Xenopus tropicalis: one gene and its partners. The protein of the gene in region 4 purifies or fractionates together with the protein of the main gene of each other region. This does not show direct contact. Links are inferred from orthologs where the notes say so. Each region holds a gene or a part of one and is shown on either strand. Other genes may lie near its edges.

The links.
Region 1: the proteins of mpp5 (region 4) and yap1 purify together in Homo sapiens (affinity purification with mass spectrometry; 6 studies listed by BioGRID and IntAct, counting the BioPlex papers as one, with this or other methods). This does not show direct contact. The link is inferred for Xenopus tropicalis from reciprocal best matches to the Homo sapiens genes PALS1 and YAP1.
Region 2: the proteins of mpp5 (region 4) and amotl2 purify together in Homo sapiens (affinity purification with mass spectrometry; 3 studies listed by BioGRID and IntAct, counting the BioPlex papers as one, with this or other methods). This does not show direct contact. The link is inferred for Xenopus tropicalis from reciprocal best matches to the Homo sapiens genes PALS1 and AMOTL2.
Region 3: the proteins of mpp5 (region 4) and lin7c purify together in Homo sapiens (affinity purification with mass spectrometry; 3 studies listed by BioGRID and IntAct, counting the BioPlex papers as one, with this or other methods). This does not show direct contact. The link is inferred for Xenopus tropicalis from reciprocal best matches to the Homo sapiens genes PALS1 and LIN7C.
Region 5: the proteins of mpp5 (region 4) and patj purify together in Homo sapiens (co-immunoprecipitation; 5 studies listed by BioGRID and IntAct, counting the BioPlex papers as one, with this or other methods). This does not show direct contact. The link is inferred for Xenopus tropicalis from reciprocal best matches to the Homo sapiens genes PALS1 and PATJ.

Annotation. Positions count from the first base shown.
Region 1 is NC_030678.2:162,264,140-162,266,747, forward strand, and holds the end of yap1 (transcriptional coactivator YAP1), read right to left. Parts: coding exon 2,522-2,608; intron 2,094-2,521; coding exon 1,981-2,093; intron 745-1,980; coding exon 506-744; downstream 1-505. UniProt on the Homo sapiens protein: Transcriptional regulator with dual roles as a coactivator and corepressor. Critical downstream regulatory target in the Hippo signaling pathway, crucial for organ size control and tumor suppression by restricting proliferation and promoting apoptosis.
Region 2 is NC_030681.2:130,250,289-130,253,808, forward strand, and holds part of amotl2 (angiomotin-like protein 2), read right to left. Parts: intron 2,733-3,520; coding exon 2,579-2,732; intron 1,490-2,578; coding exon 1,345-1,489; intron 755-1,344; coding exon 662-754; intron 1-661. UniProt on the Homo sapiens protein: Regulates the translocation of phosphorylated SRC to peripheral cell-matrix adhesion sites. Required for proper architecture of actin filaments.
Region 3 is NC_030680.2:21,036,552-21,040,673, forward strand, and holds the start of lin7c (protein lin-7 homolog C), read left to right. Parts: upstream 1-1,306; 5' UTR 1,307-1,438; coding exon 1,439-1,475; intron 1,476-4,122. UniProt on the Homo sapiens protein: Plays a role in establishing and maintaining the asymmetric distribution of channels and receptors at the plasma membrane of polarized cells.
Region 4 is NC_030684.2:119,268,262-119,271,781, reverse strand, and holds part of mpp5 (MAGUK p55 subfamily member 5), read left to right. Parts: intron 1-266; 5' UTR 267-396; coding exon 397-763; intron 764-3,520. UniProt on the Homo sapiens protein: Plays a role in tight junction biogenesis and in the establishment of cell polarity in epithelial cells.
Region 5 is NC_030680.2:85,750,409-85,753,928, forward strand, and holds part of patj (inaD-like protein), read right to left. Parts: intron 994-3,520; coding exon 793-993; intron 1-792.

The DNA of each region.
Region 1 (2,608 bases), on a different chromosome or scaffold from region 4:
GATTGCTGAGAGTACACAAAGTGACTGAGAAGCGTTGGTATGGCAGTACTGCTACCATAATAAGAACACTACATTTCTAAAAAAAAACAAAAAAAAAACACCTTTATACAAAATGTTATATTGGGTTTAGGACGTGGTCTCTAGTCTCTGGGATTGGCTGGTGAATTCCAAACGATTTGCGTGCTATGTACATGAGCCCCGTCGGCTGCAGCGCTTCCCAAGCATCCTTGATCCGTGTAGGCCAAACCAATGTCTGAAAAAGGCAGCTATAGCAGGAAAAGACTGGTGTGGTTGATTCATAAGGCTCTTTCAAATATATCAGACGCAATGAAGCAGCAATGGGTGGAGAATACTAAAAACATCAAAAAATAATTGTTTGTTTTTTTTTTAAAAAAGTAGTTTTTGCTCGCCGCCTGATATTTTTTCTGTATATATCATAAACTCAGTTTCACCTCCAGACATGAACAATCCTTCGGGTATTTAGAAATCAGTTTTGCAGATGCTTCTATAACCACGTGAGGAAACTTTCCTTATCTAGTTTGGTTGCTGCCAGAACGGATTCCATATCGTTGAGGATGTCGGAACTGAGAGCTTCTTGAAGGCTCGGCATAAGTTCTTCCCCTTCCACATTCATGGCTTCTCCCTCTAGCGTGCCAAGGTCCACATTTGTGCCAGGAAGGGTTTCCAAATAGTCTGGGAACCGGTTCTGTTGGGTAGGTATTGTACTTTGGGTAATAGCTTCACCTAGAAACAGAATGCAACAGTAACCTGTCAGTTCCGAGTTCTATTTAAAATCTTTAAAAGGAGCATTATGCTGCTAAAATGTACCTTTCCTCAATACAGTTATGGTTTTATGAACATTTAATTAGGGCTATGCAGTTCTTTGTACTAAATATATCCAGTTTATACTTAGCACTTATTTTTTTGTATTGTTATACTCTTATTTCAATGTCTCCTCAGGACCGGCCAGACCGGGGGTGAGCGAGTGTAGGACCGGCCAGGCCGGGGGTGAGCGAGTGTAGGACCGGCCACACCGGGGGTGAGCGAGTGTAGGACCGGCCACACCGGGGGTGAGCGAGTGTAGGACCGGCCACACCGGGGGTGAGCGAGTGTAGGACCGGCCACACCGGGGGTGAGCGAGTGTAGGACGGCCACACCGGGGTGAGCGAGTGTAGGACCGGCCACACCGGGGGTGAGCGAGTGTAGGACCGGCCACACCGGGGGTGAGCGAGTGTAGGACCGGCCACACCGGGGGTGAGCGAGTGTAGGACCGGCCACACCGGGGGTGAGCGAGTGTAGGACCGGCCACACCGGGGGTGAGCGAGTGTAGGACCGGCCACACCGGGGGTGAGCGAGTGTAGGACCGGCCACACCGGGGGTGAGCGAGTGTAGGACCGGCCACACCGGGGGTGAGCGAGTGTAGGACCGGCCACACCGGGGGTGAGCGAGTGTAGGACCGGCCACACCGGGGGTGAGCGAGTGTAGGACCGGCCACACCGGGGGTGAGCGAGTGTAGGACCGGCCACACCGGGGGTGACAGTGACGTAGTTGGTCAGCTTGAATATATTGCAATATATGGGCAAACAATCCCTGTTTTGCTTAAAGGGGTGGGGGGGGGCATATCTTAGTAGATTGGGGGTATTCCGTGGGTACCTGACAGAGGTTGGGATTCAGTCAAAGAAGACTGACTATGCAGGTGGGGTGTGGGTACCCTGCAGGGGAAGTTAGGAGAGATGTGGGCTGTTTTGTAGAATTTCAGTGATCTGCCCACATGTGGCATCACTTCTAGGGTCATGTGGTGCATTCTACGATGGCAGCTTGGACATTATTATTTGGATCCGACAGCCTGGCAAAGATGGTGATACGGGTCTACTGAACTAGACCTTCTCAAGGACAGTGCCCTTTAATCAAACAACTTATACATGAGGTTCAAACCCTACAGATTGTAACTGTGTGCCCCTAATGGCGAGACAAACTGACCTGTGTCCATTTCATCAACACTGTTGAGGAAATCGTCGGGAGTCCTGGGTACACTGTAACTGCTCATGCTCAACCCGCTGTCAGTGCTTTCGTCTCTGGAGTGATATGTTCCACTGATGAGAAAGAAATATGGTTAAATAAAGCTCAGAAAGTATATACTACCAAGCAAGAAGACCTTCCAAAACAGTTTATATTTACTGTGGGTTGTCTTTAATGTAGATTATCCTCTGCATACCTGCCAGTGTGTAACTGTGTGATTACTGTGGATGTTGTGCTACTAATTGCTGGGGCTCATTTATCAACACCTGAGGTGTTACTTATGGCAACAAATTACATTTCCGCTTTCAATGTCCTTCCTTCAGCTAGTTAAAAAAAAAAAAAAAGCATCTCATTGCCGATTGGTTGCTATATACTGCTCAGTGTTGGTAAATGAGCCCCAGTGTGTCTCATACAGCCTGTTACTAGGAAGCAAGTTCATGGCGGGCGGGAGCAGCTAAATATTACAAGGGGTCACTAGAGGGAGATAAGAATTGGCCCAAACCTGTTGAGGAATGGATCGGAGCTGTTCATTGTCATTGTTCTCATCTCCTGGGAAATCCCTGTTGAACACACTGGGTTCTGAGTGCCG
Region 2 (3,520 bases), on a different chromosome or scaffold from region 4:
AGCTATTCAACCTTTTCTTCAGGAAACAGTGAAAGCATTTAGCACATGATACCCCCCCCCTCTCTGGAGATGTAACCCCGTGGGTGCCAGAGAGGTCTAGAATGTCTGTCCCATGGGGATAAAGATATTTTAACCTATTTTGGAAAACGTGTTTAAAAATATGTGAGAAATGTATAGTTTAAAAAAAAAATCTGCAAATAGCAATAGATTTTAATTTTAACCTGCCAACTACGAAAATTGCATCCAAGCCTTTATTGGCTGCATAAAAGCAAACTGCCATAGAAAGCTATTTAAAGGTGAAGGCAAACATGCATCACAACAAACTACTATTCTGTAGATTACTCTTCTAGGGAAGGCTTGCTTATCTGAATAATGTTTATCCATAAAAGTAGGAGCTACCATATTGTTTCTCAACAGAACAACCACTTTAATTTCACCCATAGACTACAATGTAACTGGGCTCCAGTGGATAAATGATCAATAAATATGATGATAAAAGCTTAGCTTTTACAAGCAATAACTGTTGAATAGTGTTATATTGTTTTTGCTCCCATTAAGACACAATGGTCATGTAGAAGTATATGCGTGTACTATTAACAGGAAATGGCTGGGTTTGCTACAGTGTGGTGGCATGGTCCATAAGCACTTAAAAGATACTTACACTGTGCAATGAGTTTCGACACGACTCCCTGAGAGTCCTCCCTTTGCTCCACACTCTTAGCAGCCAGCTGTTTGTTAGCAGAGTCCAGTCGTTCTAGACAAAGAACAATAAAGCAGTGAGTTTACAAGACAAGCAAGACACCCATGATATTGCCTCATTTAGGGGACATGTATTTAATCCAGTGAACAAACACATTTAACGAGCTGCTCCTTGTATCGCCAGCAACTCTTGAACTATGGCTTCCTTGAAAGGCAGTAATACTGGGTGTTGGAGTACAATTTTGCTTATTTTTCAATGTCCCCAAAGGTGATATAATTATACAGGGCTACTTAAGAAATTATAATATCTAGACTAGAGACTAAACTTATGGAAGGCCAGTCTATGACATAAAATAGTGATAGGCCACCTGCGGCCCTCCATATATTATGGTCACACCCTTAAACATCATTTTAAAAATGAAGTATAACTATGTGGCCTAATAGACAATGTCAGTGGAGGTTATGAGATCTATCCCCCTTGCAGGCCTATTGTCTATTTTCCCTTTGTACAAGGATTTTAAAGGCTCTAAACACACAGAGTCCATTCAATCAAGCCTAATAGCTATTGTTTGGTTCCTAACGATGATTGATGGCTCACACCCTACAGGCCAACGTCTAACATTCCTCGTGTGCCATAGCTCTAACCTCTTAGATCTCGGTTGAAGTCCTGCATGCGCCTGATCTCTCCTTCCATTCTGGTCCGCATGGCATTCTCAAGGGCCTCCCGTTTGGAGGATGCCTTCATGAGACTCTCGTAGGCTTCAGAAATTCGTTGGATTTCAGTTTCCAACTGCAAAGAAACAAGTAGACTGTCAGGCACATTTGTCTCCACTCCTTGTGTTCCACAAGAAAGCAAGAACATTCTAAAGTATGTGACAAATCTGGTTATTCTTCACGCTACTGTTACTTTGTAGGCCTGGACAAGACAGACCAGTAACTGTAAAGCACAATGTTATGGAGATTTAGTTGTCCATTTCACCAGTATATTGGAACAACCATTTCAAAAAATGAACAGGGACAGGTTTAATGTCTGAGCCTTACTATTGTTTTAAGACAAATATACTAATAAAGGCATTGTGACAGCAGCTAAAACTTTTTTGGACTCATATTTAAAGCATTGCTTATTTTAGTGGAGTTTGAACCACCTGCCTCTGGATTACACATTTGTTTAGAGGCTGGGTGCCCCCCCTTCTCCTTACAGCTGAGGCCTTCCTAACACAAGCACCTTTTCATCCCTACACAATGGCTCATTTATGCCGCATCAGGTCAACTCAAGCAGAACAGAAGACTTAAGCAACTGTCAGCGGCCCTCAGCTCTAAGTGTGCCTCTAACAAATGGCTCATGGCTGCCCCATTGTGCAAGGATCCTTTGCAGCTGTTAAAGGGGAGATGGCAAAGAAGGAATCTCGCTGGGCTCAAGAAAGTGAAAGGGTTGGGGATGACAAAAACGAAACCAATGGGCCAGACGTCCCACCCTGCAAGGCCAGCTGGGAATCATTTCACAATGCTCTGCTTGTTGATGGGCAACGTTTGGAATTATAATGAGTACTGCAATGTTAACGGGCTGGCGAAGAATTGTGTAAGAAGAACAGCTGCTTGGGAGAAACCCTCAATGCTTTGGTTGTGGAAGTCCAACAAATGGCAGACAGAAATATCAGCCCCTACCAAATGATTGTATTTCTTTTTACATTGTCTTCAGAGAAAACATACCCTACTAGTAATGACCTTTTTCATTCATTTTGCCTTAAATCAACACTAAAGATTAAGGGTGAAGCTTTTTTGTCTACACAGAATATTCCTATTTGTTCTTAATAGGGACATAACCTTTATGGCTACAATCATGAAAATGGAGCGTTGCTTAGTTTAAAATGATTTTTACCTTCTGAATCTTAACAGCTTTCTCACTGTAGCTCTCCAGCTCCCTACGTAACTTCTCGTTTTCTCTCAGAAGGGCATCCATTCCAGCCATATGGGTTCCGGCTGCATTGAACGCTGCGATTGGACCGTAGTTCAGATTAGGATCTTGAATTTGTCTGAAACAGATAAAAAGAAATAAATAGAATGCACACAGCTGTACTGGCAAAACAATATGTAGAGCAAAACATCTGCATAGATGATTTTCATGATGCTGTTAAGTATTTCTTGGTCATTCTGCCAAGTCTCTTGATACTGGTCTAATGATTGCTATGTGTGGTATAGTGTGAGGTTACAGTACCTATGATAAATAGTGCTGGGCTTGAGGTACTGGAGAGCCATTTCTGGCGTTATATCAGAAAGTTATTTCAAGTTTAAATTGAACAGGCCACTTTACATTAAGTTGAATAAACAGTCCTTTTACCACAATGACCCATTTATTATACAAAACCATTTTTAATATATGTATATTTTACAGCTGTTATCTTAGGCTAACATTAAATTAATTTTTATGCCAATTACTACACAATTTCTGCTACTTAAACCAGACACTCCGGCTTGGCCCATAACACTGTGGTCAGGTAAATAAAACATGCCTCAGGTAACAAACAGTCCCTGCCTTATAAGGGCTCCAAATACATTCTTAAAAGTCATTCCAGACCAGTTCTACATACAAATGCCTGGAAGGAAAAGTAAGAGCCACACAGATTTCATTTGTTAGTCTGGAATGAGAATAATAGCTCTTCCTTTCTCCCTCTCTGTTTGAAACGCTAGGAATGTAATATGCCCCCCCCCCCCCCCCACAATGAAGTGGCATTTCCTTTGGTGACCCTATACACACACAGATACCAGAGTTAATTCAAGATCCAAAAGGGGAAAAATTCTTATATTGTGAGAGTGAGCATGT
Region 3 (4,122 bases), on a different chromosome or scaffold from region 4:
CAGTGCTATTCCCCTTGCAGTCCTTACATCCTACCATTCCCCCCAGTGCTATTCCCCTTGCAGCCCTCACCTCCTGCATTTGCCCCCAGTGCTATTACCCTTGCAGCCCTCACGTCCTGCATTTGCCCCCAGTGCTATTCCCCTTGCAGCCCTTACCTCCTACCATTCCCCCAGTGCTACTCCCCTTGCAGCCCTCACGTCCTGCATTTGCCCCCAGTGCTATTCCCCTTGCAGCCCTTACCTCCTACCATTCCCCCAGTGCTATTCCCCTTGCAGCCCTCACCTCCTGCATTTGCTCCCAGTGCTATTCCCCTTGCAGCCCTTACCTCCTACCATTCCCCCAGTGCTATTCCCCTTGCAGCCCTCACCTCCTGCATTTGCTCCCAGTGCTATTCCCCTTGCAGCCCTTACCTCCTACCATTCCCCCAGTGCTATTCCCCTTGCAGCCCTCACCTCCTGCATTTCTCCCCAGTGCTATTCCCCTTGCACCCCTTACCTCCTACCATTCCCCCAGTGCTATTCCCCTTGCAGCCCTCACCTCCTGCATTTGCCCCCAGTGCTATTCCCCTTGCAGCCCTCACCTCCTGCATTTGCCCCCAGTGCTATTCCCCTTGCAGCCCTCACCTCCTGCATTTGCCCCCAGTGCTATTCCCCTTGCAGCCCTCACCTCCTGCATTTGCTCCCAGTGCTATTCCCCTTGCAACCCTCACCTCCTGCATTTGCTCCCAGTGCTATTCCCCTTGCAGCCCTTACCTCCTACCATTCCCCCAGTGCTATTCCCTTCGCAGTCCCACCGTCTCCCTTTATCCCAGTACAATTTCCCTGGCAGTGCCACCTTCTCCCTCTCCCCCAGCACAGTCCCCTTTGCAGCGCTCACCTTCACCCTTTCCCTACACACCCCCCCCCCATTCAATTCCCTTAGCAGCCCCATTTCTCCCTGTTTAATTCCCTTTACATTTTCATTTTCTTTCTTTCCCAGTTCAATTCCCTTAGCAGTCCCATAATTCTCCCTTTGCCCCAGTACAATTCCCTTACAGTCCCCTGTAGCCTTCAGCTCTTCCCCCCGGTGCATTAAGCCCTACAGGCAGCCTCACTAACACACACCCCCACAGCAGCCCTCAGTCCGACGAAGCAGTCACTAATCAGCTCCTATTCCCACTGAGCGCCAATCCTGCACTAGCAGGCCCCACCCCTCTCTCCCCGCCCCCGTTCTAGCGCTTTTCCCGCTCCCCTGTGTCACTAGTAGGGACCCCGGCAGTAGCACCGGTGGTAGCCCAGGCAGTAGGCAAGGCAGTAGTATTAGGAGTGGGGCTGGCGGCTAGACACGCCCTCACATGACCTCACTTCCTGCTTCGCACATTTGGTCATGTGACGGTGACATCACGACCTGCTGCAAGCCATTGGGTTTTACTATCTAGCGTTGTGTGTAGGAAAGAAGATGGCTGCTGTGGGAGAGCCCATTCGCTTGGAGAGAGGTGAGGGGCAGTAGCAGCGGGTCGGTAGGCTGAGAGAGTGGGGGGGGGTGCCGAGGGGATACAGAGCAGTGTGAGCGCCGCCACTGTGTGTGTATTGTATCTGTCAGTATCTGCCCCCCCCCTGTATAATCCCCTGTATAATCCCCCTGGCACTGATCCGCCCCCCCCCCCCCCAGTGACTGGGGTTCCCTTACAGTCCCACTCCTTCTGCCATTAGAGTGTTAGCTGTGAGGCCCAGGGCCCTACCTGCCGGCTGTATGTGCCAGTACTGGGAGGAGTGTGTATGTTTGGTACAGGCTGCTCACTTGTACTTTATAAATATGTCAACAATAATAGTAATCTATTTGCCCTGTCACTGAGATTTACTCTCTGTCTTATTAACCCATTTTGTTCCTTAAATATGTACCCTGCCCCCCCCCTCTCCTGGCACTTTGTACCCATCGCCCCCACACTGGCGCTTTGTACCCATCGCCCCCACACTGGCGCTTTGTACCCATCGCCCCCACACTGGCGCTTTGTACCCATCGCCCCCACACTGGCGCTTTGTACCCATCGCCCCCACACTGGCGCTTTGTACCCATCGCCCCCACACTGGCGCTTTGTACCCATCGCCCCCACACTGGCGCTTTGTACCCATCGCCCCCACACTGGCGCTTTGTACCCATCGCCCCCACACTGGCACTTGCCTAAAGGGGACGGATAGGTGAAATCACAGGGGGTCAATTTGCCCGTAGAGGTGCCACCTTCTTCCCCTAAGTCTTACTGGCCTGTGCCCCTAGGGAGGCAACTGGTGATGTGATGGAGGCGGGGTGTGGGCGGATCAGGGGCGGGGTGTGGGCGGATCAGGGGTGGGGTGTGGGCGGATCAGGGATGGGGTGTGGGCGGATCAGGGATGGGGTGTGGGCGGATCAGGGTGGGATGTGGGCGGATCAGGGGTGTGGTGTGAGCGGATCAGGGATGGGGTGTGGGCGGATCAGGGATGGAATATAGGCGGATAAGGGTGGGATGTGGGCAGATCAGGGGTGTGGTGTAGGCGGATCAGGGGTGTGGTGTAGGCGGATCAGAGGCGGGAGGAGAGCTGCTTACAGAGAACAGTTCTGAGTGCAAATAAATAAGTATCTCAGAGAAAACTTTAAGAAAGTGGAGGTTTACAAGTTGTCCCGCAGTTACGTTGCCTGTAAATTTGTAACATCGGCTCTAGGTGGTAGTTTGCCGGCTAGGCCTTTAAATTCCTGTCCAGGTGGCAGCCCTAGCCCTAGTTGCCCCATACACAGGCCCATAAGCTGCTGACCCCATGGTATTCCTATAATACAGGTGCTGGCGCTGATACTGGGGATCACAGGAGACTCAGGAGCATGAATCCTGCCTCAAAGCTGGGACTGTACTGGCTTTAGGGCAGGGCTGGGAGGCCACAAACACACACATCCACATGTGTATATATATATATATATATATATATATATATTTATAAAAGAAAAAAAAACAGACTTGCTGGTAAAATTAACTAAATGGTTTAGCAGAAAGGACATTCCACAGGGAGTAATTTCTCATTCTCTTCATAATAATATCCAATAATTGTTCTCAGTAGCGTCCAAATCTCAGTCTTCATGATTGATAACTGATATCTGTTAGTGCTTTTAGAATTGCTGTCTTGCCATGCTGGGGTCCTGGTACTGGTTTTCAGTAGGACAATATCTGTGTGTAGTTTGTATGGTCTTCTATGGTCATGGAAGCTCTATGGGGCAGGGATCCTACTGTATCTTATACCACATGGCATCTCTGTGTAGTTATACTTATTTATAGGTATATATTTATAACACTTGTCCTCCCTGTGTGTAATTGTTAGGCTGTGCTGTACAATCTATCTTGTTTATACATTATCATTAACATTTGGTGGAGCTTTATACCTAATTGTGGAAGGTGCAGCTATTCCCCTTTTTTGTTCTAACACTTTATATAGTTATACATCTATACATTGACTCTAGTACAGAGGGCCCACCCACCTCAAATGTTATAGAGCCATATATAATGTAGATTGAATAAACCCCCCCACAACCAAACCTTACATGCTTTGTGCCAATAGGAAAACTGTGCTGCATTATCCCAAGGAGCACATGTACGTAGGGGGGGGGGGGGGGGGGGGTAGAAAAACCAGTTTCCCTGATGCTATAGGCAAGTATTTTGGCAATGTTATGTTTTTCTGCATTGCGTACAGTGTTTTTCCGGATGAGTTCACGCAGTTTTGGCCTATAGATGTTTAGTTAAAAAGTAAAAAAAATGTTTTTGTGTCTGTGTGTAGATAGAGAGATAGACAGAGAGATATATATATAGAGAGAGATATAGAGAGGTAAATAGAGAGAGAGAGATACAGGGAGAGAAATATATATAGAGAGAGATGGATAGATTGATAGAGAGATAGATAGATGAATAGATGATAGATGGATATGATAGATAGATGGATATGATAGATAGATGGATATGATAGATGGATGGATATGATAGATAGATGGATAGAGAGATAGATAGATAGATGAATAGATGATAAATGGATATGATAGATAGATGATGGATATGATAGATAGAGAGATAGATAGATAGAGAGATAGATAGAGAGATAGATGAATAGATGATAAATGGATATGATAGA
Region 4 (3,520 bases):
TCTGGTCATGCCCATTCCCACACCTTGTGTCTCAACCCTTTCTCCTTGTAGATTGTAAGCTCTTTTGGGCAGGGCTATATATGTCACTCTGTATGTCCAAAGTATGAAGCCCACTTAATTTTACAGCGCTGCGGAATATGCTGGCGCTTTATAATAATTTGTAGCTTAATTGGCTGCATTGATGTATAATTGTGGGGTGGGCAGGTTTGGCCTGGAATTAAGTTTTTTAACTTTTGCTTAATCATTTTTCTTTCTTTTTCAAACAGGGCAGCATTAACATCAATGCCAGCTTTTATGTGCAGCTCATGAAACCACAGTGAGCTACAATGGGATACTGTACAGACTACAGGACATATACTCACCTATAAGCACCTGGACTGGGTGGTGCCGGCAGTCATGACCACTTCTCATGTGAACGGACATGTAACAGAAGACTCTGACAGTGACAAACAGAGCTCGGATCTTGCTTCTCAAGAGGAGCCACCCAAACATAGGGAAATGGCCGTCGATTGTCCTGGGGACTTGGGTACGCGGGCGATGCCCATCCGGCGGAGTGCCCAGCTGGAACGGATCCGGCAGCAGCAGGAGGATATGAGGCGTAGGCGGGAGGAAGAAGGGAAGAAACAGGATCTGGATGTTAATTCATCTATGAGGCTTAAAAAGTTGGCACAGATTTTCCCCAAAACTGGAATTGACAACCCTATATTTGATACTGATGAAAGTCTAGTGTTGGAAAGTCCTAGCAGGGCTGTGAAAGTACTGGGTATGTATTAACATTCTCTATATGTATTACTTATACATACTTATATGCAAGAAAAGACTTGCATCCTTTTCCCATTAAAGGTCAGAAGATGAAGTTTAGGTAACAGCTGGAAATTTACACACATCATTTGGGGTGCAGTAATATTTGTCCTTTATTTCCATTGTTCCTTTCTGCTGTAAAAATAAATAAATAAAGCTGCCAATCACAGAACCTATGCCCAACCAGTAAGCCCATGGGCCATGTGAGCAGCTTGAATGTTCCAACCTGATTATAGCAGCAGCAGTTCTAGCATATAACTGAGGAAGCTGCAACTGTGGGGGTTCATTTGCTAGCTTTGGGAAAATATACCCTGATACAGTAAGCCATAGCAATAAATCAGTTATTAGCTTTTATTATTATTATTACTGCAGTAGACAGATGAAAGCTAATTGCTGATTGGGTGCTTGGGGAAATGTTGGTAAATGAGCCCCAGTGTCTTTTACATCCCTGCCTTAACTCCTGCCCAAAAACTTCTTTTTTTTTTTGCTAAACGGGGTGTAAGGTCCCTTTTCACAAATATGTCAGGTGCTGTTACTAGCCTATTGCCAGGGCACTGTTCTTTGCCTAAACAAATTAGTTCAGCTCCGGAGAGCAGCAGTGATTTAGAGAGTACTTGTAGGTGCACTAAATCAAATAAATAGGGTTAATAGGAAGGCGGGATTTATGGCTAACTGCTTAAGGCACTGAAGCAATACTGTCATATCCTGCCATCTCTCTATAATACTAACAGCCGCTTACTTTATGTGGAAAAATGCCCTAGGCATTTGCCACGAGCTGATAATGTCCTCCAAGCAACCTGCTTGCGATCACTAGTGACACTTCAGGAGTTATCATGGTAAGCCCACCTGTACATCCCCCACCCTGCCGCCGCACAGCGCCATATAATCATCTCTCTAATGCTTTATTTACCTACCTACGCCCGTCCCCATAAATCTAAATTATAGCTCAGACTTTGGATCCGGCTAGCTGGGAATCTTAAAAGCCCTTCATTACAGGGGATGTCCATGATATATAAGTGCATAAAAACAGGAACAATATGCTGGTAGATATGGAATTTATTAGTTATTGAAATATAGAAACCACATAGTAGGTGAGGTTGATAAACAAAAAAAACAGACTGCCAAATTTCCAACCAGTAACTGCCAGAAAAGAAATTGCACTAATTCTTTTGTGCAACTTGGTAGCTGCCACAGGTGGACAAAAGTAGATGAAACTGTGAAAATCTGGCACTGAGAACCTCAATTATAAAGGTGCCTAGCTGACTGAGCCTGCTGGTAGGGTGTGGTACTGCAAGCAGTATTCACTATGCAATTTCAGTAAAGCCCCCCATAAAATGCAGACCCCTTATCAGTGGAGGGCTTTACAACATACCCATCTAAGTATATATTTCGATAAGACGCTGTAAGCTTTGTTGAAATTAAAGATGGACTGGTAACCGGCAGACTTGTGCTCCCTCCTCCGTTCCGTTTGTTGCTGACCTGCAGGGCTTCGTTCCAGCCGCGTGCGTAAGCAGTGGTGATAGGGCCCTGTCCCCCCCCAACACAGGGAGTATTTTCATAACGCTTCTCTCGTTGTATTCTTGCTGAGTAATCACATTCCTCCCACCAAAATAACTTGCCCAGAATTCCCCTTTCATTTGTCACATTTCAAGTCTGTTAGTTTGTGTAGGGAAAGATTATTCAGATAGCTGACCAGTTTATAATGTTCCATATTCCTGCCCTGCCGTTTATATTGCGGCTTTAAGCATTGCCTGTTTACTAGGCACAGTGATGCCTTTCATTCATTGTTTTTAGTTTACCAATCTCTTGCCAATAAAGCTGGATACAACCTTCTTACCTTCATTTAAAGGAAGGCAACACTAGCAAACTCCCTGCATGCTTACTATTTGCTACATGTAGGCCACAGCAGAAGAGGGGTAAGGGGTTTCGTGCCTGCTGGTGTGGGTCCCACCAAAGGGTTTTTCGTGGGGGAGCCAAGCAACTCTACTACGGTCCATGTCACCTTTCTTAAAATCTTATGGTACTGCTATTGAGTAAGGTGCTCCCTCCATTCTTCCGTTGTCCACATTCATTTTTTAATTCGTTTCCTGTTTTTCTCCATTTCAGTCCATTATAAGCCCCTCTTAAGTACAGCTTTGTCTCTATAATATATATTTTATTTTATATAATATATATATGTAAGTGTTACCTTGGATTTGTAATATTGTGTATATTATTTATGTATGTGTGTGTGTGTGTATATATAATTTCTGTAGGGCCCACATCTGCACATCTGCATACTGGATAAAAGATTTGAAGTACAATGGCATTGCTAGAGTGAGTGTAAACAGGGAATGAATGCCACTGATACTTCTTTAGACAGCTTTAGGATAATAAAGGATATGATATGTATAATTTGTTCACTGATGTTACTTGACCCTAAATAAAAGATGCAGTCTGTATCATATTGTTTATGGTTTTGATATTGAGGTTTTAGTCGCCCTTTAAGAGAAAAGTTGCAAAGTGCATTGTGTGGGAGGTATATGAGCTTCTAAATGTCTAACCACTAGGGGCGCTTTCCTCTGTCTGTATGGTACATTTTGGCTCTTCTGGGCAGCTTGGCTGTGCAGGTATGAGGGCTTCATATAGGAGCATATAGGCCCATACGCTTCAGTATCTGGCTGAAGGCTAAGGAGTCAGGCCATGGTTCCTGACTGCTGGACCCTCTATGTTTACATAC
Region 5 (3,520 bases), on a different chromosome or scaffold from region 4:
CATGTGAACAACGCTCCAGGCACACAGTTGGTTTAGCAGGGTTGAATGGCTGTAGCGTGCACATGTGCCAACTGGCACTGGAGGGAATACCTAGCTTCCAAATTGGTCCTGCCTTGTTTCATTGAATATCTTGAACGTTTAAATAGACTGGAGAAAAGAAAGTTGCTTGAGACAATTTACATGTTCTACATAAACTCAGCAGCTTTTACTTGCCAAGTTTCTTCATGTGATTTTTTTCTTTGAACTATGGTTAAAAACAAAAGATAGTCTTGTGTAGATTCAAGTTTTTTCTAGCACTTTTTTTCAAATTGAAAAAAAAAATGCAAGCTCAAAATTTTGATAAACCTGCTCCTTGATGTGCGCCTACTTATACTCAACTTTTTCTTCTGTATATCATAAAACCCTTCATTGTAACATATAATTTTGCAATAACGAGGCATGGAGTTGTATGCTGTACTTCAGCATATCTGGCAAGGCAGATTGACATAACTGTTAATTCAATTCATTAGAGATAACCAGACTGAAGTTACACTCTGCTAAGCTCACCAATAAGTTTCGGTACAAACACTCACTGGTGCAGCCTTCTCCCTAAAGACAATTCAGCAAATAAGAAAAGGTAAATCTGCAGAGATAAAAAGACTGTGCAAATATTTTCTAATGTTACACACTACATTAACTTAAAGTTGATTACAATAGTAAAATAGTAAAAATAATAGTAAAATAATTTTGTCAACAATAATATTTCCAAAAAAATGCATCTTCTTTTGAATGTGGGGAACCTCATGGCCTTACCTCTGCCATCTGTTGAAGTTTTCTGTTAAACTCATCTTCTGAGTAAGGGCTAACAAGAGGTAATTGAGATGAAACAAAGTTGTCAAAGGACAAAGAGTTGTTCTTGTTCCCAAAGTGTGCGGAAGAGTCAGCTTCAAATACCAATAAACCTTTCTTTGTGAAATCAAATTCTGCAGAGCGGTCAGCTGGCATTCGGTTGAGCTGAGGAAATAAAATTGATCCAAGTTGCCTAAGTTAATTAAAAAACGTTTTGTTCAACTTACCAAAATAGATGGTAACAACAGAGCACTTCTAGCAGTAATATCCAGCATTATACATTTAAACACGGTTACACAAATTGCAATGTGTGTTAGATATATGAAAAAAATATATATTCTTTCCTGGGAAACTGGGCATAAAAGGGAATACATTAAAGCCAGTGCCTAGATCTTAAGGTGGAACTTTTATGCTGTTTGTAATATACAAAATAAATGGGCTGATAAACTAGATTACCTGAAATTGTATTACATTTATTGGTCTTTTACCAAGAACTGTCCAATGAAGTAAGCCTCCAAGGATGATATTCATGCCTTGTCAGCCAGTAGCCACAATGAAAAAGAACATCCCCACTCAGTGCTGGGGAACTGCACAGAACTGGTTCTTATGTACATTAGATGGATCCACCATATTGGTCTCATAGAGGGCTTATCATTGTGAGAAAAAAGTTCCAGCTCCAGTTGGTTATAAAATAATAATTTGATATCAAACTTTTTACTTGTGTATATGCTCTGAACTGTTACTGGTATGAAAATTTTAACTGAAAAAACACAAGAGTTGGAAAGCCTCAGCACAAACGTCAGCTCATAAAATTACCAGCTTTTTGGAACCCCTATTAACTGCTCACTCACTGTCACCTGATTCAAGGTTCACAAGGGCAGGATCAGCCTTGTCAGATTCACGTTTAAAAGTGCCAGCAAGCACAGTCTATAATGGGGTCCTGTAATTACCATTTGAACTATGACGGGCAGTCAGATTAGAACTGTCCTGTGCCAGCGGATGCTGTGCTCTGCAATACTGGATTTTTTAATGAGATGCATGGTGCAGAGCTAAAACCTGAATAAGTGTTCTCTACGGACACTATGGGGGGAATTCACAAAAGTGGAGTTAGCCCTTTTTTGGAGTAAAAGTGGTGGAAAAACTGGTGGAAAACACTTTCTCCAGATTCACAGACAGAAATCCGCCTAAATTCCGACTCAACCGCCACTTTTCCGTTTTTGGTGAAAGAAAGACAGTTTACAGACACGTTTGTGAATTTGTCGTTTAAACGACATTTATACAACGTTTTAACGACATTTTTTCCTGACATTTTTCCCAGTCATTTTCAAAATGGAGTGAAGCTCAGTATAACTCTGTTAGATCAATTCTAATCTCTTCTGTTTTGTTTCCCCCAGTCTCCATTTCACACCTAAGGTAGGGGGTAATTAACATATTAATGGGGATTAGCAGACTATTGTTAGGGGGCAAGTCTCTGTATAACCCTAGAAAAAAATAGGTGCTAAAAGCCTCATTAACATTTTATAAACAAGTAAAACACTGATTAAAAAAAAGTTCAATTTATATCTTATATATAAAAAGTTTTTACCTCACATTTGCATGATTATGCTAGTTTTTGCTTAATCAATGAGGCAATAATAACATTGAGTGAATATATTGTAAACATTTTTATTTAAAGGAAAAGTAAAGCCTCCCAGGCAAATTTTTAGTTTTAGCAGCAGTGCCCCCTCTGTAATAACTTCACTGACATTTGCCCCAACTTATCTGTGCCCCCATAGCATATCCAGAACTACAGAGCTGCCTGACAGCATTAGTCCCCACCTGTTCCCAACTGCCATATTGGCGATTAGCAAACAGCACATACACACTGGCACCCAAACTGGAATATTGGGGTACAGGGTTGGACTGGCCCCAACAGGGCACTGGATAAAAACCCGGTGGATCCTAGTCCTGTTGGACCTCTTTTTACTGGGCATGTTGGTATGTGGGCCGGATTGCTGCTGACTAGTAATGAGTAAATATAGAAAACATTAGAAAGCCCAGCTTGTCCTGAACAAAATGTTGTATAGTTTCCCTGGGCAAACTAAAATTACCCCTCAGGAAATGCCCCCAAAGTGAAATGATAAATGGCAAATGAAATGCCAAATCCTGTTGGTAAATTCCTTACCCCAAGGCTCCTGTAGCTGTGGGACTGGGTTTGATGGCACCGACAGATTTACTAAGAGCTAAAGGCAAATTCATAAAAAATTGTCGGGAAAATGACAAAATATGAAAACAAATTCACAAAAGTGGAGATAGAGGTTTGTGAATTAGGTGGAAAATCCGACAAATCTATCTCCACTTTTATTTTGTCAGAATATCACCACTTTTGTGAATTCCCCCCTAAGTGGTGCAAGGGCTCTTGTACTTCTGCCCTGGATTATGGTAAATTACCTCTCTAGAAAGATATAAGTAGAAACTAGTTGTCAATTGTAATTTCCCTATGCACAGTTGTTAGTCAGCACTGGATACCCTGCTAACACAGATACAATCTACATTTTCTTCCACTTTAAGTGCATTTCCAGCCAGCAGTTTGTAACTGTATTTTACAGTATAATTATAAGTATACTAAAACTTTTAAATATTACACATCGAGAACAGGTATAGAATCTATTTTTCTAATCTAGTTTTCCTCAAGTTGGAATGACATATTGTA